Ovis aries: one gene and its partners. The protein of the gene in region 3 interacts with the protein of the main gene of each other region in a pairwise test. Links are inferred from orthologs where the notes say so. Each region holds a gene or a part of one and is shown on either strand. Other genes may lie near its edges.

Region 1 (7,383 bases), on a different chromosome or scaffold from region 3:
CCAGGCACCCTGTGGTACCTGTAGTAGTCCTCCTGGGCGGGCAGCGGCACACTGTGCAGCGGGTGATGGGCGTGCAGCCACTGCTGCTGCTCCAGCGCAAGGCGCTGCAACTCAGCCGACTGTGCGTGCATGGCCTGCAGCTGGTGAGCTGCCGACATCGGGGCAGAGAGGGAGGCTGGCAGGTCCCGGTATGGAGCAGCTGTGGGCAGGAAGGGCAGGGTCCACATGAGTGATGAGGTACTCAGGTGGCCAGACACTGTACATACAGAGGAACCGCAACTAATCACCTTAGGTGACAGCTGGTCCTGCAAGCTGCCAAGGTGGTTAGGATCCAGGCCTCTGAGCCTGACCCTAACATCTGTGCCTCTCGGCCAGGACCTCAGGCGTCCAGCTTCCATTCCCAGTTCCTCCCGCCACCTCCTCATCTCTCCTCTCCCCAAGCCCAATAAGACTAATTCCAGCACCTAACTTCCTCCATTCTTTCTCTCCAGAGACCGTCCCCACCCCCAACCTCCATCCTTACCAAAGAGCTGGTGACGAAGAACTTCGTTCTCGTGCAGAGGGTGAGGAAGAAGGGGGTTGGGGAGGGTCCCAGCTGGGTAGGGGATCCGGGTAAGGTGAGACCCTGAGGCCAGGGGGTCAATGAGAGGGTGCACCGAGGCAGAGGCTGGAGGGTAGAGAAGAGGAAGGTGTCACCAGAAGGCAGGTTTGGGGAAAACCATGCATTTGGGTGAAGGGCTCCATGCCTGGGAAGAGAGGTGGACGATCAAACACAGGGTGATCCAGTGAATCAAAAAAGGCACAATGGAGGGGCTAGGGGTCTGGGAGATGGACAGCGAAAGACCCTACTGCAGGAGGGACAGATGGACGGATGGCAGAGGACAGGAGATTCCAGTTCTCAGAGGGACCTGAGGAATAGGGAGTGGACTACCGAGAAGAGATGGAAGAGAAAAGGAAGTTTAGGAAATGAGACAGGGAAGAACTTAGAGAGCACAAGGAGCCTGGAATGAATGTGACTGGAAGGCTAGAGGGGGCAGTGTTCTGACAATTAGAAAAATAGTAGAAAGACTCATTGTGAGTAAAGCTCATTGTCACTTGTGATCCCACAACCTGAGCCACAGGGCTTTCTAGAAGGTCACATATCTATAGATTCGGAGAGGAACATGAAACATCTCTGCCTGGATGGAGAAGATGGCAAGAAACAATAAAGCTGAACCCATAGGAGCAAGGAAATAGTTATGAGAAGGGCTCAGGGACAGGCTGTGAGGGGAGGAAGGTCACACTGCTTTAAAGGTCCCCACCTCTGGCTTCTACCATGGGGTGTGGGGGGAGACGCCAGACCTGAATGGGGCTGGGGTGTGGGGCAGGGTCTCTGTAGTAGGGCTGGGGTAGGAGGAGACAGGCTGGGGAGGCAAAGACCTGGGCAGCAATCTCAACAGAGCAGCTCAGGCCAGATGTGGGGTGGGAAGTCCAGGCCTGAGCAACAGAAGTGCGCAATGACCTTCTAGGATGCAAGGTGATCTCAAAGGGCCTGGCCAAGGACGAGGGAGTCTCACCTGCGTGGATGGCATCCTGCTGGTGGAGGTGCAGGTGAGAGTGGATGTGGGAGTGCTGGTGGTGATGGGGGGTCACGTTGAGCATCTGCAGCCGCGCCAGCGGGTCATTGCCCAGGGCGGCCACCCTTTCTGCGTGCTGCCTCTCAGCCGCCAGGCGCTCCGCGTAGGACATGTCAGGCCGCAGGGCGGGCCCAGCTGCCAGCGCTAGACGTTCTCTCTCCAGGGGCCCCAGGCTCGGATGGAAGGGGAAAGGGTGCAAGCCCGGGGGGCCAGGCTGCAAAGCCAGGCCCCCGTGTCGCGGAAAGGGATCCAGGCCTGGCCCAGGGACCCCATGTAGGGGCTCCAGCTCGCTGGGCTTCACCTCAAAGCCAGGCTTGAGGCGGTCACGCAGGTCTCGTTCACGGGCTTCCCGCTCCCTCTCCCGGGCTGCTGGGTCACTGCTGTACAAGGCCGGGACATTGTAACCCAGGAGCCCCGGGTCCACTGCCCCCAGGGGCACGTAGAACGGATGGTTGCGATTGCCAGGAGACATCACGTGGGGCCGGGCGTATTCGCTGAGGGTGCGTAGGGCTGGAGTGTCGGGGCCCAGGTAAGGGGGCACTGTAGCCACAGCACTGCCCGGCTCAAACGGAGGGCGATGGGGCACTGGGCCGAGAGATGGGCACTCCACTGGAGCACGGCCCTCCTGAGCCAACTTCTGTGGGACACAGGGAGACGCGGGGTCAACAAGGCAGGTCCCGGTCCTCAGCTGCTAATTTGTCTCAGCACCTGAATGCCTAAAGCCTCAGCTTACTGTAACTCGGCCTACCAGGGATTTCCCTGCCCCTTCTCTTCTACAGAGGAGAGATGCTCTTCCTACGATCCATGGGTACTCTGACCTGAGCTTACCTTTCTTCAGCCCAAGGATGCAATTCCTGCCGCTGGAATCCTCTGGTCTCCATTTCCTGGGTTGCCAAGGCTCCTCCTGTCCGACAGGTGGCGCATGGCCCCACCCCCTCGAACCTCCCTGAGTCGCGTAGAGGGCGGCCCCGAGGAGGGAGGCGCGCACAGTGACGCACTCACCACGCTGCGTTCCAGCTCGCGCTCCTTCTCGCGCTCGCGTTCCTTCTCGCGCTCCCGCTCGCGCTCGCGCTCCTTTTCTTCGCGCGCGCGCTGCTCGGCCTCGCGCCGCACCTTCTCTACCAGGTCGGCCCGTTTTTTGGCCAGCTTGGAGCCCTCCAGCGGCACGAAGTACAGATCGCTGCGCGCGCACGAGTTAAAGCCGCGGTCCAGGTGTTTGTTGAACCTGCCGGGCGCCGAGGTAGCGTGCGCTCAGCCCCTGCGAGCGGCAACCCCAGTGGCGGCCGAGAGCAGGGCCTGGAGTACTTTGAAAAGCATTACTCGAACGCAGGGCCCATCCCGCGCCCGCCACCCCCAACCCCAGCCCCGGCGCTCACCTGGCCGACTGGCTGGCGTGGCTGGGCACATCTACCACCTTGGGAGGGGGCGAGGGGCTGCGGGCCGGGGGCACCGGGCTCTCGGGGGTCTCATATTCCTCCGCCGGCTCCTGTTTGATCTGCGTGGCGCTCAGGGGCGGCCCAGAGGCGGCGGCCGCAGGCGGTGCGGGCAGGGATGACAGGCCGGAGGGCCCCGCAGGCGGCAGCGGCCCGGGCCCCACGGTGGGCGACCCCGGCTTGAAGGTCCCTGGGCCTGCGGGTGGCGAGGTGCCTCGGTAGCCCGGTGGGGTCCCCGTTCGGAAGGAGGGCGGCGACCCCGGCTTGTATCCAGGTGGAGTGGCTGTCTTGTAGGCCCCTGGGGACGGGGCTCGCTTGCCATACGGCAGGGGCCCAGGTGGGGAGGCTGTCTTGTAGCCTGCTGGCGAGGAAGCCACTGTAGCAATGACCGTGGAAAGTGTGGCCGAGGAAGTGGTGACCGGAGGCACCGGTGGAAAGGGGTAGGGCGCCCCTGGGGGGCCCTGGGAAGGAGAGGGGTGTGAACCTGGGTAGGACCCTTGAGAGGAGGAAGAGGAATTGGAAGAAGAGGAGGCTGGGGGTCCATTGGGACCTGCTTGGCTGTAGGACACCTGGCTGTGAGGTGGGGGCAGGTGTGCTGGCCCTGGTGGATAGGGTCTCAGAGACCCCAGGGAGGGAGACATGGCATAGGGGTGTGCATGGTGGGAACCACCGCTCTCCAGGGGGTGAGGATATGCTCCAGGGGGAGGGGGCCCAGAGCCCCCATGATGTGGTGGTGGTTGCTGCTGCTGTTGCTGTTGCTGGTGGTGGTGGTGATGTGTTGGGGCTGATGGGTGGGCTGTGGACTGGCCTCCAGCTGAAGGAGGGAAGGGACCTGGGTGGGCACTGCTGTTGGCTAAGAGGCGGCCATAGGGAGGAGGTTGGGGGGGACCCTGGCTCCACACAGCCTGGGATGGGAGAGAAGGCTGCGTATACTTGGGGGGCTGATTGGAGACAGAGAGACTGGTCGGGGGAGGGAAGGAGTGGGGATAACTGGGCAGTGCCTGGGAAGCGGGGTACTGGGAGGCAGAGGCAGAAGAACTGGAAGAGGCGGCTGCTGCAGAGCTGCTAGCAGAGGATGAGTAAGGATACCTCATTGGGGGGGCAGGGGCTGAAGAGGACGCAGGGGGCAGAGGATGGGGTGAAGGAGCAAGAGTGGGGCCCTTCTCCGGGCCAGGAGGAAGTCCACCCATGCTCTGCCCCATGGCATGAGGGGAGGGGAGATGCCCAGGTAGTGGCTGGGCCCCCAGGCCAGGAGGAGAGGCCGATGCATTGTTAAGGGGTCGAAGGGCAGGTGGGGGAGGCAGGTTTGGTGTCACGTGGGGGAAGGAAGTTGGTGGTGGCGCAGACGGTAGGTTTCCACCACCGACTGGAGTGTTAGGCGGCTTCGTTGAAGGAGCACCACCAGCCCCAGAGCTTGATATTGAAATGGGGGTGGTGGGTGGGGGGTGCTGCTTACCCCCACTAGGGGCCCCCACTGAAGAGGCAGCCCCACTCCCCTTGGGACCCAGTGAGGGTCCAGACAAAACCCCCCCACCAGACCCCCCAGGGTAGAGCTGTGGATGAGGGGGAGGGGCCCCTGGAGGAGTCTGGAACATCCGAGATGTGGGGGGCTCCATGGGAGCATGATATCCAGTGGGTGTCACAGAAGGGTGGGGTTCAAAGCCAGGCTCTGGCTGTCGGGGGGTGCCGTCAGGCGGTGGAGGGGAGGGAGGGAAGAGTGGAGGTGGGTGATAGGGGCGGGCGGGGCCCTGAGACAGGCCAGAAGACGAGTCGGAGTCATTCTCCACGCTTCCAGGGCTGTAGACGCTAGGAGACGTGCTCCGGTTGTCCTGGTCGATGTCCCTGGGGTCGCTGCTGCCATCGTCGTTGAGGCTCCGCCCATCCAGACTGTCCAGATCGGAGGGAGACTGGGGCCGGGCCAGCTCCTGCTGCACAAGAGGGAGAGCCATGGTGGCCTTTGCTTCTCCTGCCTCCCCTGGATTTGGGGCCTCGCTGGCACAGAACGATTTCCCATCGACAGCACACAACTGCACCACAACGGGAAGAGTACTCTTGCTCAAGCCCACCGCCTGGCCTTCTGGGGATCCTCCCCTCTCACAGTCTCTCTGCTGCTCCCTAGCAGGCATTCACCCAGTTCCTTCCTCAGGCATCCATCTCTAGCATCTCCTCCCATTCCACAGCTGAACCCAAATCCGTATCTTCCACCAGCCCATCTGCCATCCTCTCATCTCATCCACCCTTCTAATTAAACATCCCAGAAACCACTGGTTCTTAAGAAGACCGCTTCTGCGTGCTCTTTATGACTTACTTGTTCCTCCTACTGAGACTTCTCACCCTGGATCTCCTCCTCAGAACTTGCCTGAAAACCAGGCCCTAGAAAGGGAGAGCCTAGAATCCCCCATGCTCTACCCATTCCTCTTTGGCACTGCCTGGTCACCTGACACTCTGGCCAGAGCCCTAAAGATCTGACTGACATCCAGACAGGCCACTTCCATAAGCACTCAGGTAAGACTTTTCTCTCATATTGCAGACAAAATTAAAGTAAGAATTGTGAGTGAAAGAAAGTTTGGGTGAAAGAATGTCAAGAAAATGGGTCATGATGGCGACAAGGGTCTCCCACCTCAGTTTTGGTCTTTTTTGGTGCGTTGGTCTCCTCACTTTCGCTCTCTGAGATCTCTTCACTCCGGCCCTGCTTGCTGACCTTTGGGGTGGAGGCTTCCTCTACTCGGGCTTTCTGTTAGAAAGAAAGAAAATTCCTATCTTGTACTTCCACCAGTGCCCTCGGCCAGACAGGAAGCTCCCCACAACACACACATACACCATCAGCCCCAGTGCCCGGGCATCCTGTGGCAGGACGTGGGGACAGAATACCTTGGCCGTCTGCCTAGACTTCTCGGCTTTGCCATCGCTGCTGGACGTGCTGACCCCGCCAGGGGAGGCCCGGCCCCTCGGTCTCAGCTCTTCCCGGGGCCCGGGGGCCTCTTTCTTCCGTCCACTCCTCATTGACATCTGAGGGAGAAGGAAGTGAGCAGATGATGCGGTTTTCTACATCACACCTCACCGCATCCTGTGCCTTCTTTCTATTCCCCTCCAGTGGCTGTCGTGGAAAGATGGGGTTCAAAGCCAGGCTCGGCTGTCTGGGGAGGAAGCAAGGAGGGAGGAAAGAGTCGAGGAGGGTGGCCGGGGTGAGCAGGGCACTGGGACAGGCCAGAATCTTCCCTGACCGTGGCCTTCTGTGTCTTTCATTTTAGCTCCTACTCACTGAGTCTTTATTCTGTCGTGTCTTCATTCTTCAGGCTGTGGAGACCCCATTCTCCTCTGCCCGGGCAGCTGGATACAGAAACTTCTCTGCTTCACCCTAAGTTCCCCCCAGCTACAGCCTGGGAAGCAAGAAGCAGGCTCTCCGAGTTTTCAGCACCTGGAACTTGCAGGGTCTGTCTGCAGTGAAGCCTGTTGGAAAAAGACCATCAGAGTCTCCAAACTGGACAACAGAGCCTGAAGGGGGTACTGCTGCACTTGTCAAGGGGCTGAGTGGGCAGCCCGGCCATGACACACTGCTGGCTTGCCCATGGGCCGATCCAGCTTTCTGTGAGTGAGGGCAAGGTCATCCCCTTCATCTCTCGGGAAGGCAGAAAGCACAGGTGTTTCTATGCGCCCCAATTCAGGAGATCACACTACTTCCCCCTTGGAAATATATGCGCACACAAAATTCCACAGAGCCTTACAAAAGGAGCACAAAGAGATGTACCTGAAATATAAGCTGATTTATTGAGTGCCTTATGTCAAGCCCTTAGATGACATAAAGTCCAATTTCATTTCATGTTTACAACCATCCCTGAAAGTGAAATTCATTCAGTCGTGTCCGATTCTTTGCGACCCCATGGTCTATACAGTCCAGGGAATTCTCCAGGCCAGAATACTGGAGTGGGTAGCCATTCCCTTCTCCAGGGGATCTTCCCAATCCAGGGATCGAACCCATATTTCCTACATTGCAGGTGGATTCTTTACCAGCTGAGCCACCACGGAAGCCCAACCCTATAAAAGAGGTAGTCTTACTATTCCCATTATATAGGTGAGGAGACTGAGGATCAAAGATTGTGATTGTGACTTGCCCAACTTCACGCGATGAGTACACAGTGAGGAGCTAGACACAGTGCCAGAATCAAGCCCCATCCCCCTGACTTCCAAGCGCATGCTCTTTTTTCAGTATTTAGCTATACTCTCATCAGAAGTTGGTGAGGAGAATTCTCAGAAGGCCTAGATCAGTCTCTGAGATATGAAAAGAATCTTTCTTCACATTAGAGTAGGTGGGAGAACAATGTCCCATTCAACAG
Region 2 (7,383 bases), on a different chromosome or scaffold from region 3:
CCACTAACATGAGTGGGCTTTGCCTGAAGGGGTGGAAAGGGTTGCACCAACGTGCTCCAGGGGCCGTGTGGCCCCGTGTGACCAGCGCCCACATGAGACTCTGCAGCCACCCCCTCCAGGAGGTCACCACCACCTGTACCAGAGCGGACCACGGCCCGCCCCGCACTTTCCAGAAGCAGGGCTCTTCCGGCCTTTCTCACAGGGGCGGCTGGGTCCCTTCTCTGTCCCGCGCCCCCGGCTGTCTGCCTGGTGTGAAGGCTGTGTGGGGCCCGTCCCCTCGGCTGTGCAGGCAGGAGCCCAGGACACTCAGGTCTCTGCCAGTGACAGGGCCGGCAGGCCACGCTCCGTACGTGATCTTCTGTGTTGTTTTGCCTTATTTTGTTGTTTTGGCTGCACCGGGTGGTTTGTGGGATCTCGGTGCCCCGATGCGGGATGGAACCCCAGCCGTGCCAGGGAAAGCCTGGAATCGTAACCGCTGGGCCTCAGAGGCGTGCAGGTGAGCGGGCAGATGCTTCAGTCATCCTCTGAGCTTGAGGCAGGGAACCGCGCGAGAAAAGGTGGCGACAAGCCCCTCCTGGTCATGATTCCGGGTGGAACGTGTCCTGCTGTGATGTCTGAAGCTGGCGCCATCACCCTGAGCCAAGGCACCACCTGCTGGGCACCTCGCAGAAGCGCAGCCGGGACCCCATGCCCCGCAGTAGAGGCCTTGTGGGAACACAGATGCGTCCTTCCAGCGCGGGTCCCGCTACACCTCCACCGCCTCTCAGAGCCTCGGTCTCGCCACTTGAGCTGGGGCTCGGGGCGCACAACTCACAGGGCTCTGGGGCGGCGGGAACCACAGAGGCAGGACATGGCAGGAGGAGCCCATGGGGGGGGCCACGCCCCAGCACGCACAGGGCTCCGGGCACCTCAGCCGCTCAGCGGGTCCGCGCCACGGCCCCAGCCTGCAGCCAGGAAGTCTACCCAGCCAACGTCGACCTCAGGCCTGGACACCAAGGGCAGAGACACAATGGTGAGTGGGGAGTGCCCCCCCACAACACCCGGCTGTTCTCCAGGCTCCCAGGTGCAGGCTGAGAGAAGAGGGCGTCACGAGTGCAGAGTCAGCTGTGAAGGCCAGGCCAGAGCCACCACAACGTCCTGTGGACGGACGGCAGACGGCATTAAAAGGGAATGTGTGCAGATTTAACAACACACAGAGACTCCCCTGATGGAGCATTAACTCAACAAAATCAGCACAAAGCCACATAACAACTCCATCCTAGAACTGCTGGCCACTTTCAAGGGGAGCTTCCACTTGAAAACAGCTTGATCCACAGTCTAAGTTTTTAGAAAGATCGTGAACATCAGGGAGGAGAAAACTCTTGCTAGGATTTCTCCTGAGAAAGGCGACAGCAAACTGCAAGGACCGGCAACCCCACAAGGACCGTGTGGTGGGGCGGCCTGAGCCCTATGACTCCAGAGACCTCCTGGCTGATGGAGCGTCTATAACTCTGTGCCCAGCCTGGCCTCTTCCGTCACATTTCCCCATCCGCGGGACATGGAGATCTGGGAGGGGGGGCTGGGACCCCCGGGCCACACTCGACGGCTACCAGGGGCACTGCCGTGGCACCACGTTCCCTCTCCAGGGGGCCTAAGCGCTTCATGCCCCTGGGGACCCACTCGGGGCAGACGCCCCTCCCCGGGAAGGGCTGCTCCAGGTCCACACTCCAGTCCTGGGGGCTGATATACGTTCCTGCTGGACCGGTTGTCAAACTCCAGGACCCGCTAGGGAAGGACACGGCCTGGTGTGTGAACACTGCACACCTTCTGCAAAGGCCCGGATGGGCAAGGGGGACACACAGACCCACAAGGAGGCAGAATCTTGAGAGCTCTCCACCCTTGCCTACAGCCCCTCAAACACCTGCTGCTTCTAAATCTGAACGAAGTGCAGACACATGGAAGGCTGGAGATTGAGAAGACGTCTGCACAGCCCACGGAAGCAAAAGCGGGACGTGGCTCCCTTTGTAAGTGTGCTCAGTCCCGCTAACCACACACCGTGAAACAGTCAAAGCCGTAAGCTTCAGGTTACGCGTATTTACAGATCTTTTAAAAATACCATCTTCTCTGGGTTGGAAAGATCCCCTGGAGGAAGGCATGGAACCCACTCCAGTATTCTTGCCTAGAGAACCCCATGGACAGAGGAGCCTGGCAGGCTATAGTCCCTAGGGTCACACACAGTCGGACACGACTCAAGCGACTTAGCACACTTACTGAAAAAAGAAAACTCTTTAGCATCGGGAAGGGCTTCACCAGGCCTGGTTGGCAGGCACACAGCCACCAGAGGCAACTGCAGTCAACCTGTCTTGAGACTTACATGCCACCCCCAACCCTGACTTCTCCAGTGTGCGCTGGAAGGCTTAGAAACCCCAGAAGGATCTCTGCACCTGACATAGTTGGCCCTCGCAGAGGACTCCAGGGACCAGGAGAACTTCTGGAGTGCCACAGAGAGCTTCCGGAGCACATAGGTGAGAGGTCACAGGAACTGGAGTGTCCCACCGGAGTGGACCCTGCCGACATCGCTTAACTGCTTCCCTACAAATTGCAGGCGAAGCCAAGTTCACCGTTTCCTGCTAGACCGACAGCACACACTCACTTGGCCAAAGGCAGCTGCCAGGTGCCCAGGTTAACACCCACGGCAGCAGCATTTACAGGAGTCTCTGAACTTTCTGCGCACGCAGGGGTCAGGTTCACGTCTGGCAGGTGCCCCAGAGATTCCCCGCAGCTGTCATTCAAAGCCCACGGAGCTGAGTTTTATACACCAACCAAAAGGCTTTGCTGCCTGCGTTCTCGGACCGGGGGCCAGGACAAGTGGCAGGTTTAAGAGGAAGCTTAGGGCGTAGGAGGGTCAGTAGGGGAGGTTGTTGGACCCACAGCCGTAACCTGAATCCACAGTGAACACGGATGGCAGGGAAAGCCAGTAGCGGAGAGGTGGGCCCACAACAGGCGATGGCACGGCAGCTGCACTGTGGGCTCACTGGCCCCAAGCACTGCCCGTCCCTGAAAGAGCCCCGCAGTAGGGCCCACCAGGAATGAGGGGATCGACCACCACCGAGGAGCCGCGACCCGGCAACGGGCATGGAAACGATGCTCCCCGGAAACACCACGTGGACTCACGGTGCGAGGACGCGCTCACCCAGGAGCCCCGGGAGAGGCTGGCGGCATCTCACATGGGTGAGGCTGTGGGCCAGGGGCTCTCCCAGCCACAGGGGAGCTTAGGCTTGGGATGGCCATGTAGGAGAGCACGCAGCCAGGCCACTCCTGGCCACGCCCATCACTTCTAGGAAACTGCACACTGGGGAGCGGGGTTGGGAGGGCGGGAATGAGCACCAGTCAGCAAACAGCACGGGGACAGAGCCAGGCCTCTGCGGCTCGAGGTGGAGGCTCCCAGGAAAGGGGGCAGAGACCCTCGTGTGAGGCAGGGCTGGAAGCAGCCTCCCCAGGCAACCAGCTGGCCCAGAGCTCTCCAGAAGACGGCCCATCAGGCATGACAGGGGCTCTGAAGCGAACCCGTGCAGAAAAACGACCTGAGGGGGAGACAACACCCGGAGCCTAAGGCTGCAGGGTGACGGTGGCACCGTGTGGGTTCCGGGCTCTTCTCAGCTGTCCCCCGGGGACTCCTGAGAAGCCGGAGGACGAGGAGGAGGGTCCTGCCGCCTGTGAGGGCCCGCGCACTCACCTGCGGAGGAGGGCCTGCTGCAGGCTGCGGCAGGTGCTGAGCGATTCGCCGGTGAACAGATGGCATACCACCACGCGCAGGCAGCGCGCCATGAAGGCCAGCACGGCCTCGGGCTGCAGCGTCCCGCTGCGCGACACCAGGCAGAGGCGCTGCAGCGCGGAGCACTGGCTCAGCGCCTGGAAGAACTGGGCGTTGGCGCTGAAGTAGGGCTGCTCCAACCTGCGGGGAGACAGGACACGTGGCGTGAGACGGCGGGCGATGGATGTGTGTGGAGCGGGGCTCCTGTCCGGGGGCCCACAGGCCCAGCAGGCCCGCTCTGCGGGCTGCACTGCCTTCTCAGAGTGCCTGAGAGCCGGGAGGATGGGGAGGGGCATAGGGGCCAGCTGCACCGGGCACCCGGAAGATGCGCTGCAGCCCCACCCCTCGGGACCTGCGTGGGCTGTGGGGGAGAGGGCCCTTGTTTGGAAGCAGGGTCTTTGCAGACACAAATGACTTACGATGAGGCTCGCAGGACTAGGGCAGGAGCTGGTCCGATGGCCGGCCCCTCAGAGGCCAGGAGACAGCACACGGAGGTGCTCTGTGGCAGCCGGGGTGCACTGCAGGGACGTGCCCACGGCCCCAAGAATGTTCACACCGCCCGCAGTCGCCAGAGGCCGAAGGGCAGGCCTGGCACAGGCTCCCACCCACCTTGACCTGGGGCTTCCGGCCTCCTGACTGTGAGAGGATGACCCTTTGTCTTGGGTGACCCCGGTGGTGGTCGTTTGTCAGGGCAGCCCCAGGACACTGGCACAGAAGCCCGGGGCAGGGAGCTGGGGCACAAGCAGAGTTAAGATCGTTTCCTGGTAAATCACACAGGAAGACCTAGACGGCCTTACAGACAGGGGTCAGCGTGGATCCGGTCCACCTGAAAGCTTCCCACAAGGAAAACTGTTAATGAGGGTCATCCCTGGGGATCAGCACCAGGCCCCAGTGGTACTTCTCAGACATGCGTGGCTGTCGCCTGAGCTTTGACAGCTCACTGACTGTTGGGGGAGTCCACGGTCACCTGGCCCGAGCCACTTCAAGGCTGGCGACACAAGAGGGAGAGGCCGGCCAGAGACGTCCGCCCAGCGTGGGCAGAGGGCGCACAGGCGCTGCGGCAGGCGAGGAGGAGGACTTCACGGGGTGATGGAGATTCGGGCACATCTGTAGGAAACTGCAGCTCAGGGAGCTACATCTGACCCCTATGACCGACCAGGAGAACATTTTAAAGGGCGGCGAGTGGGCACCAGCCAAGGCTCCCTCTCAACCAGCCACCCAGGCCTCTGATGGCCTTTGTGCGGGCCGTTGTGGGCCCTCACCCTCCCTGTTAGCACGAGGGTGGGAGGAAGGCACAGGACAGCCCTCGGCCAGGCCATGCCTGCACTGTGGGGACACCGCCACACCTGGGGTGACACAATCCTGAGCCCTCTGGGTCCAGCCGCCCCCACCGCCAAGGCCCAGGCACTGCACAAACCACGCCCTGCATAAACGTGGTGTAACACCGCCACACTCGGGGTGACACAGCCCTGGGCCCTCTGGGTCCAGCCGCCCCCACCGCCAAGGCCCAGGCCCTGCACAAACCACGCCCTGCACAAACGTGGTGTAACACCGCCACACTCGGGGTGACACAGCCCTGGGCCCTCTGGGTCCAGCCGCCCCCACCGCCAAGGCCCAGGCCCTGCACAAACGCGGTGTAACACCTGGGACAGACGCAGACACTCTCGGTGAGCCTGGGAGGCTGGCAAGGCCTCCATCAACATGTGAGACCCAAAGGGAACCCCGAAAGGCCCGTCTTGCCCAGTAAACTGAGAGTGACTTCCTGGGCAGCCCCCAAGAAGCTGGTCTGCAGCCGGGGGCTCTCGTCATCAAAGGAGAGGCTTCCAGGACAAGCAGCAAGAACCACTGAGCCCGCTCCCCTCAGAGGCAGTGGGTCTCTGCTGGGAGCAGAAAGCCTCCAGGCGTCAGGAGAGCCTGAGCGCTCTGAATGCAGCGACGCCGTGGGCGAGGCAGACATGGGGAAGGGGCTGTCTTCCCCCTCCCCAAACGAGAGCCTGAGGGCCCGCACTCAGCCTCCTGATGCCCAGGGACACAGACAAGGCACAGGATGGAGAAGGGATTTTAAAACCAGGTCTGAGGTGATGGGATGTCTGTTCAGAGCCATCCCAAACGGGAGCCACCAGGCCCTGAAATGAAACGCAGCAGGGAGCTGGGGGCTTTAATCACATGTAGGTAGAAGTCCTAAGCTCCTAAAACGGTGGGGAACGGGGCTCCTTCTGCGCGTGATTCTGAAAGACCTCACGTTCTCTCCGGGTCCGGCAGGAAGGAAGCCCCCTGGGGCAGGGGAGACAAGCCCTGACCCAGCACTGCTGGGCTGCAGTCACCCCCCAGCCCAGCCCTGGCCGCCTGTGGGACGGCCATGCCGCCAGCCCGCGACAGACACGCTGCGGCGCCGCGGTCACTAGGTGGCGACGTGGGGCCCCGCTTCCTACTGGGGATCTCGCTGCTCAAGCAGCAAAGAGGACAGTGCGCAGGCCACACGGACTTCTCAACGCTTTTCTCTTTCCTTAATGTGCCCGCCACCCCCAGGTCGGTCCCCAAAGACGCCCGTCACAGGTGTTCACAGCAGGTGTGGTGGGCGTGGGGGGCCCATCCACTCCACCTGCGGGTGGCCAGCACTGGAGGGCCAGCCAAGCTCAGTGCATGTGACCAGCAGTGTCTGCAGCCAGGCACCAGGGCAGAGGAGGAGGAAGGGGCACTTGCCATGATTGATTGTGCCCTGGGGCGGAGTGTGTGGGCGCCCCGCCCGTCGTCCCTCACCCTTCCGCCCAGTAAGGATCTGGCCTCCACAGCTTGCTCCGTGAGGCTCTGTGGGCACAGGCAGGGGCTCAGACTCCCCTCACCGTCTGCCCACCTCTTGGGCCCCTCTCTGACCAGTGCCTGAGCCTCTGGGACACAGGCATTCAAACAGCCAACGACGAGGGCGATGTCCCAGCCTGGGCTCAGAAGCACGGCCTCCTGTGTGCTCTGCCGGGATGCCACCAAGCGCTGTCGCTCCAGCCCATGCCTACAGACCCCCCACTACACACTGTCAGACCCTGGTCAAGCCCCCAGCCCTCGAGACTCTCAGGCCTGTGCCCTCTGTCTCAGCAGGCACGTGGCAGGAATGCAAACGCTTGCCGAACTCAAGGCTGCACTCCACACCCCCCTCTGTGCCCTGGAGGCCACGGAAGGGCCCGCAGGGGCCGCGGAGGGGCGGCCGGGCCCCCTCACCTGAGGTCCTTCAGCCGCTTGCAGTGCTTCAGCATGTCCGAGAGGCCAGACATGTAGACCACCTTGCCCATCAAGCCCAGGTGGGCCAGCGAGAGCGACTGGAGCTGCTGGCACTGCAGGCCGATGCTCACCAGCCCCGAGCCCGTCAGGATGCTGGGCAGCTGGGCCAGCGTCAGGTGCCTCAGGAAGGCCAGCTGGCCGATGGCAGCCACCTCCGCGTCCCCGACGCTCTGCGCCCGGCTGCAGGGAGGCAGGGAGTTGCGGATGGCAGGCTCATTGCGCGGCATGGCGGACGAGAAGTTGGAGCCGATCAGTTCGAGGCGGTCCAGAAAGGGCACGTTCTTCAGCAGCGACCAGAACACCGAGGACGGCTGGGG
Region 3 (7,383 bases):
TTCCTTTCTTTTATGCTTTACTTTACTCGTCTCTAAATTAACAGAGCAGTAGCTTTCCTTAGGGCTAATATGTTGCCAAGTTTTGAGAAATCTCGTGAATTCCAGAACATCTTTGCTCTTCCCAGGACAAAACAAGGTTCCCCTGGCGCCTACGACCGAAGTTTTCGGTGGAAGTATCACCAATTCCGTTTCCTCTGCCATGTGAGTTCTGGTACTGGGGCTCCCCCTGGAGATTGGGGTTACAGAGTCATTTCAGCAGTTTCCTAGCCTAGTTGCAGGTGTTGGAACACCTGTGTCTTAGGTGGGAGCAGGTCACTTGTCTCACTCTGAGCAGTTGTGTGACACTGTCTTCCATTCCTAGGGGACCAAGTTCTCCCCACCTAACCTGGGGGTGGAGGGTAGGGGAAGCTTATTCAACAGACAAGTGATCAGATTGAATAGTTACCACCAACGCCCCAATTTGAGGTCTCTGTTTTCCTTTTCTTTTCAGTCAAATGCTCTCCCCAGCCACGTGAAGATCAGTGTTTCCAGGCAGACACTTTTTGAGGATTCTTTCCAACAGGTTAGAGAATAATCACTGAGTCTAAGACCCAGGGCAGGGAGAAGGCCCGCTGCTACCACCCTGTCTTCTCTTGTGTGGCCCTTTAAGCCCACATGATACGGTTTTCAAGACGTGGGCCTTGGTTATGGGGAATCAGCCGAAGAGCAGGCCTGGGAGTCCCTGGTCGCCTGCCCCCAGCCTGCCATGGAAGGGAGAATGGCAGGCTGGCCATGACCTTCTGTCTCCCCAGATCATGAACATGAAACCCTACGACCTGCGCCGCCGGCTCTACATCATCATGCGTGGCGAGGAGGGCCTGGACTACGGGGGCATCGCCAGGTGAGCTGGGAGCCCCAAAAGGCCGTGCTGCTCCCTGCTTCACCAAGCTGCAGGGCACTCGGCCAGGAAGCTGCCTCCTTGCTCAGACAGTTGCCAAAGCTCTCCTTTACCTTCAGGAGTGGGCAGGGGTGTGGGTGGTCCAAAGGGGTGCTGGAACTGGTTCCTGGGGTCCCCTTCTGGGCTAGGCATCAACCCTCTAATTGCTGGGTCAAGGGGAAGCTGGGGGTTGGTTTCTAGGGGAGCGGTTCAGGATGATGGCTCTTTTAAAAATTTTTTTAATTTTGTATTGGGGTATAGTCAATTAACAAACTGTCGTGATAGTTTTAGGTGAACAGTAAAGGGACTCAGCCGTCCATGTACGTGTATCCATTTCCCCCCAAACGCCCACCTCCCATCCAGGCTGCCACATACCATTTGAACAGAGTTCCATGTGCTGTATAGTAGGCCCTTGTTGAGAACAATAGTTCTTTGCCAACCAACCTGTCATTATTTCTTTATTTTACCCATCTAGTTGCACCAGTGGGCAGTGGTTAGATATCGGTATTAAGTGGTTGTCCGTTGGAATCGACCCTGGACTTCACTTCCTCTTGAGGCAGCTGGGGTGGGCTCAGTTGGGGGTCTTGGTGTAGATCTGGCATATATACATTGTGTCCCAATCCAGAGGGTCTTGATAAATACTTGGCTGCATGTCATGTACACAGTGACGGTAAAATGAAAACAAATGGTATACTCCTAAAAAGAACTCAAAGCATTGTCTTGCCCTCACCCCAGTGCTGCTACAAAAGTTAATAGATTCTCTGGCAAAATGTTGCCTTGGATGATGGGGCATAAGGGCCCCGGCAGAGAGGAGGAGCGTCTTGGCTGTGGTGACCGCTCAGCCTGCCGACCTCTCTTGGTGTGGGACATCTTCTCGCTTGGTGTTGGGTTAACTTGCTCCCGGTCCTTTGTGTGCTGGTGGCGTTGCCCTCTGTGTTGGCCCCCGTGGGTCGATTGCTCTTTTTTTTCCGTGGTGACCGTGGTGACCTCCTCTCTAGGCTCTCCTTGGTGGTGTGGCTCCCGCCCCGTGTGTGTCTGTCTCTCTGTGTCCTGCCAGTGGTTTTACCCTATGGTAGGTTACGTCATGCTGTTCTACCACAGGGTAGAACCACGGACAGGATACCGGGGCACCCTCTGCATCGAAGAGATTCCTCGTCTGCCCGGCCACAAACAGCCCAGCAGCCAGGGACTGCCCCCCTTGGGACGTCCCCCTGCTTGTGTAGCTCAAGCCTCAAAGGACTCTGAATTCTGGCTTGAAGCTTGTACCTGGGGTGCAAAGAGATGCTAAGGTGTGGGCGTTGGTTCAGATGAGTTCGTGGACATACAGGGAAGGGTATGGTGGTGGGTCTGGGGTGAAGGGGTGGTGGGGTGGTGGGAGCGAGGTGTAGACACAGCCTGATGAACAGAATTGTCCCGCATCAAGGATTAGGAGCACATTACTGTGTATTCGTATTAGACTGCTTAGGTAGGCTGGAAGCAGGGTGACTGCTGCTCATAGAGCCCTTTTGCAAGATTTAGAAAAAAAGTGTCCTTTCTCAAGACACTTCTGTGCTGGAAAATGGTCACAATATACTGCTTTTATTAGGAAAAAAAAGGCAGCTTGATGCTATTTGCAGGAAATTTGTTGTGACAAATGTACACATCTGTCATATTTTAACGTCACACCCTTGTGCAGTGTGCAGTCTATACAACTGTGCATGGCAACCCAGAATGGCGGAGCCCCTTTGCCATTAGATGCTCTGGATATCAGGCGGAAAGCCCCAGAATACCACACCTGGAGCCAACACTCACACACACGGGTGTGCCTGAGCATTGCTGTCCAGGGCAGTTGCTGTTCTGATTCACCCTAGGTCTGGCCCTGCCCTGTTCACTGACCAGCTGCTCACAGAGGTTAGCCCAGGGCTGATCCCAGTGGGGCTGCCTCCTCAGGATGCATGTCTCCAGACTAGGTACTACTTGACGGCAGAAAAGACTCGGACCTGCAGAGCAGGTGAGCAGGGTGTGGTCCATTAGTCCTGTTTTCCTCTCTCTTCTCTCACAGAGAGTGGTTTTTCCTCCTGTCCCATGAGGTGCTCAACCCCATGTACTGTTTATTTGAATATGCCGGGAAGAACAACTACTGCCTGCAGATCAACCCTGCCTCCTCCATCAACCCTGACCACCTCACCTACTTCCGCTTTATCGGCCGATTCATCGCCATGGTAAGATTCATGGCTGTCGTCAGACCTCCAGGGAGTGTGGTCACAGACCTGTAGACCACCAGCAGCTCTGGAGACTGGGTGCCCACTCTCTGAGCCCCACCCTCATCCTTACAGAACGCCTCACTAAAGATGCAGAAAGCTAGTGAGAGTTCTGGAAATAGTCCAGAGCTCTCTCAGTGCCCACCCTAGGGCACTGAGGAGGTTTTCACGTTGATTTGTGTAGGACTTGTCAAGAGAAAGCCCAGGGTCCCCGGATTAAAGTCTTCACTTAACACTCAGTGCATGTGCTGTCAAGGGTGGGGGATGACGGGCCCGTCTCTGGGTGTTGCCATGAGCTGGGTGGCGGTGTCTGGGAGTGTCCCACTGAGACTTGGGCCTTCTGGAAGGGGATGGGGAATCTACACTAGCTGAGAACAGGGAGCAAGGTGATCGACTGGTGCAAGATGTTGGAGTCATCTGGCAGGAGGGAAGGGCAAGGAATGGGGAGTCGGGCGTTTGTATTTATGTAGAAACGGGAGCACAGTGTAAATTTGGAAAGGGCGTCACCTCGTGTGCATCCTGTTGAGTACCTCGTGAGCACTGAGACCCAGGATGGAGAAAGGGGAGCCCTTTGAAGGCCCGGTCCCTCTGCCACATTTGGTCGTTGAAGAGCTTTCACGGCTAATTTGCCTTTGCTTCTTCCCCTCACTTCCTGAGTGAGTGTCTGCCCTGCTCCCCTCTCAGGAGGACCCAGGAGCCCATGACTAAGTATATTCCTTCTCTTTGTCTGGAGGTTCTTGGCCAAGGTGCTAGGGCTCAGGAAGTGGGCACATTCTTCCCAGGTCTAGAGACCCGCCTGGCCCTGTGGCTGACAGGACAGACCAGTAAAACCCTAGACTATTACTCACTGCTGGCCCGCCAGCAGCAGCAGGGGTGTCTGCATTATTTTTGGCTGCCTCTGCTGCCCAGCTCGGAGCAGCAGTGAGTCAGGGCCGCCACCTGGGGCTGTGCTGAGCGAGTCTCCTCTGTGTGGGTGGAGGTAGACCTCTGCTAGAGCGAGGGGCTGGTGGGCATGCAGTGGGTCAGAGGTGGGTCCTTGTGGTCTGCAGGTGGGACCAAGAGGGCTGCAGACCTAGCCTTCAGGCTCCTGGGAGAGCTGGATGCTCAGGACCTCAGGGAGCAGTAGTTGGGCTCTGATATGGGGCATCTGAGGAAAACCAGACCTCTCTGCCATGTCTCTTCTGTCCCCAGGCTCTGTACCATGGAAAGTTCATTGATACAGGCTTCACACTTCCTTTCTACAAGCGGATGCTAAACAAGAGACCAACCCTGAAAGACCTGGAATCCATTGACCCCGAATTCTACAACTCTATTGTCTGGATCAAGTGGGTCCCCTCTGTTGCCGTTTGCTGGGAGAGGAGGGGTCTCTGGATGGGTAGTAGGCGGGTGGAGATGCCCAGCTTCTAGGTCCCCCTGTCCTGGGACGCTGTTCTGGGCTCCAGGCCACCTGTGAGTCCTCGTGTCCCACCGGCACTGAAAGTGAGTGACGGGGCAGGACGGAGGGAACCCTTCTAAGACAGACACCTTCCCTCTTGGTCTCTTGTGCTCCCAGAGAGAACAACCTGGAGGAGTGCGGCCTAGAGCTGTACTTCATCCAGGACATGGAGATCCTGGGCAAGGTGACGACCCACGAGCTGAAGGAAGGGGGCGAGAGCATCCGAGTGACAGAGGAGAACAAGGAAGAGTACATCATGTGAGTGGAAAGCGCTAGGGAGCCGGTGGGGCCTGGGAAGTGGGGGCAGAGACACAGCCGGCCGCAGAGAAAGAGGCTCACACCCTTATCCCAGGGCACCATCTTCAGCTAGGCCCCCTCGTGTGGCCCATGGGTCTCCAGGGATGGGAAGAACCTTCCGTTTTGCACTGACCCTAGACCACTGCCGTGGCAGTCATGTGCTGGCCAGAGCTGGGTAGCCAGAGCCCGAGGCCCTGTGTTCCAGCCCCCGGGTGCTCCTTGTTCCCAAGTTGCAGATTCATGACTGCAGGACAGAATTTCTTTGAAGAGGCATAAAAGTTCGACAACTCCTTCTTTGTTCTCCTAACTGAAAGGGCACCTGTGTTCTGTCTACTTAAACCCACTGTCACCTGTGGGATTGTACACGAACATGCCTGTTCACTTCAGGTCCCTTGGGCCAGTCTTTTAACCCCCGTTCATCTGAGCTTCAGTGAGCGGTGATGGGAGGAGCAGGAGGAAGAGATGTTGAAGATTCAGGTGTCTGTGGGTTACTGTGAGGTTTTAAAGGCTGTGCTCTGGGGCCGAAGTTGCCCAGGTATCCCGCCCCCCAGGTCGGCTCTCGGCTGCCTCCTTGCTGCCAGCAGAGGCCACCTCCCTGCAGACCCTGAGCTGCTCCAGAGGAGTGGGTCTCGGGCTCCGCCGACGGTCAGTCTTGGTTTCAGGCTGCTGACTGACTGGCGTTTCACCCGGGGCGTGGAAGAGCAGACCAAAGCCTTCCTGGACGGCTTCAACGAGGTGGCCCCCCTGGAGTGGTTGCGCTACTTTGACGAGAAAGAGCTGGAGGTGAGAGCTGAGTTTGTGGGGACCCTGAACCCCTGGGCCCTGGGGCCGCCCTGCCCTTTGATAGCCTCGCCGAGCACCCACAGCAACTCACCAGTAAAACCCAGGATGGCAGCAGCAGGCACATACGGTCAATTTGGGTCTTGCACCTGCCCTTACATGGGCTCTTGTTTGCAAGGCGTTATCATGCAAGACTTGGGCTACCCATACTGTTAAAACTGCCGGCAGAGGTGTGCGGAGTGCTTCCACCTGCCAGGGAGTAGACGGGGCCCTGTGTGCCATGGGGACAGCGCTGGTGCCGGGTGCCTGACACCCCCTCTCCTCCGTAGCTGATGCTGTGCGGCATGCAGGAGATAGACCTGAGCGACTGGCAGAAGCACACCATCTACCGGCACTACACCAAGAACAGCAAGCAGATCCAGTGGTTCTGGCAGGTGGGCCCTGCGTCTGTCCCCACAGAACGCACGGGGGCTCTGGGCGGGCGTGTTTGGGCGGTACCCCCAGGAGGCGAGACCAGATTGAACCCCAGGCTTTTGGATGCTTGTTGTGTCATCACCTTCCTCGTCTCTAACACTCTCCTCGCCTCCCCCAACTCCCAAAAGGAGACGAGAAACCCAGCCTTGGGACGATCGGAGCTGGGTTGCGGCCACTGCATTTGACAGGAGGTAGTGTTGGCAGTGGGCCAGCCTCAGATGCTGGTGTGCGGGCTGTGGGGGAGGGGGCCGTGAGCAGGGAGGAAAGTTCTTGTAGGTCACGTGGTCTCCTTCCAGCCGGACGGAAAGCGTGGGCTTGGCTCCAGAGAAACTGAAAGAGCCCCTTGTCCTGCATATAAGGAATCAGTTGCTTTGAATGTGCGGGTCTTGTCGTTATCATTGTGCAGTATAGCATACATAAATGAGCAGAGGTAGGCTTTCTGTTTAGGTGGAGTTCACATACCATAAAATTCGCCACATTAAGTGTTTGGAGTGGCTCTTACAATGGTTTCTGACAGTGTTGTACCCACCATCACCACTGTTGAATTCCAGTACATTTCATGTCCCTCAGAAAGAAATCTCACACCTATTAAAGCAGTCAATCTCATGCTTTTATGTTTTTAAAGATGCAACTTGGGGGACTTCCCTCGTGGTCCAGTGCTTGAGCGCCCACCTTATGGTGCAGGGGCCGCTGGTTCAACCCTGGGTATGGGAGCTAAGATCCCGCATGCTGCAGGGCAACTAAGCCTACCGGCCACAACTGGAGAGTCCGTGTGCCACAACGAAAGATCCTGCATGGGCAACCAAGACCCGATGTAGCTAAATACATACATATTTTAAAAAAAAAATGGAACTTGGCTGAGGAGGAGAATTTCTGGCCTGAAACCAAGAGATGTCACATAGACTGGTGGGAATGATGTATGCACACAGCCTCTTAGAGCGGCTTTGGGGTTTCCCAGGGAGTAACTGTCACCCACTCCCACAGACCACGCTGGGGCTCCATGTTCTCAGCCCCAAAGAGGGGCCCTGGCTCATTGCAGAGTTACAGGTCAGTGCAAAGTGCTGGGCCAAGTGGGCCCTGACTCTGCCTGGGCTTGTGGGGCTCCAGGTGGTGAAGGAGATGGACAACGAGAAGAGGATCCGGCTGCTGCAGTTTGTCACTGGGACCTGCCGCCTGCCTGTTGGGGGATTCACTGAACTCATCGGTACGTTTTCCCCGCCCTGCTGGTGCCGTTGGGTGGA

What was found.
Region 1: the proteins of WWP2 (region 3) and ATN1 interact in a two-hybrid assay, tested with the Homo sapiens proteins (2 studies listed by BioGRID and IntAct). The link is inferred for Ovis aries from reciprocal best matches to the Homo sapiens genes WWP2 and ATN1.
Region 2: the proteins of WWP2 (region 3) and FBXL18 interact in a two-hybrid assay, tested with the Homo sapiens proteins (3 studies listed by BioGRID and IntAct). The link is inferred for Ovis aries from reciprocal best matches to the Homo sapiens genes WWP2 and FBXL18.

What each region holds. Positions count from the first base shown.
Region 1 is NC_056056.1:209,364,550-209,371,932, forward strand, and holds part of ATN1 (atrophin-1), read right to left. Parts: intron 6,500-7,383; 5' UTR 6,339-6,499; coding exon 6,312-6,338; intron 6,059-6,311; coding exon 5,921-6,058; intron 5,784-5,920; coding exon 5,670-5,783; intron 4,978-5,669; coding exon 2,993-4,977; intron 2,842-2,992; coding exon 2,619-2,841; intron 2,254-2,618; coding exon 1,557-2,253; intron 668-1,556; coding exon 524-667; intron 200-523; coding exon 19-199; intron 1-18. UniProt on the Homo sapiens protein: Transcriptional corepressor. Recruits NR2E1 to repress transcription. Promotes vascular smooth cell (VSMC) migration and orientation. Corepressor of MTG8 transcriptional repression.
Region 2 is NC_056077.1:39,242,510-39,249,892, reverse strand, and holds part of FBXL18 (F-box/LRR-repeat protein 18), read right to left. Parts: coding exon 7,007-7,383; intron 3,935-7,006; coding exon 3,716-3,934; intron 1-3,715. UniProt on the Homo sapiens protein: Substrate-recognition component of the SCF (SKP1-CUL1-F-box protein)-type E3 ubiquitin ligase complex.
Region 3 is NC_056067.1:36,514,518-36,521,900, forward strand, and holds part of WWP2 (NEDD4-like E3 ubiquitin-protein ligase WWP2), read left to right. Parts: intron 1-125; coding exon 126-201; intron 202-490; coding exon 491-562; intron 563-791; coding exon 792-880; intron 881-2,957; coding exon 2,958-3,117; intron 3,118-4,347; coding exon 4,348-4,481; intron 4,482-4,708; coding exon 4,709-4,849; intron 4,850-5,550; coding exon 5,551-5,671; intron 5,672-5,997; coding exon 5,998-6,102; intron 6,103-7,249; coding exon 7,250-7,346; intron 7,347-7,383. UniProt on the Homo sapiens protein: E3 ubiquitin-protein ligase which accepts ubiquitin from an E2 ubiquitin-conjugating enzyme in the form of a thioester and then directly transfers the ubiquitin to targeted substrates.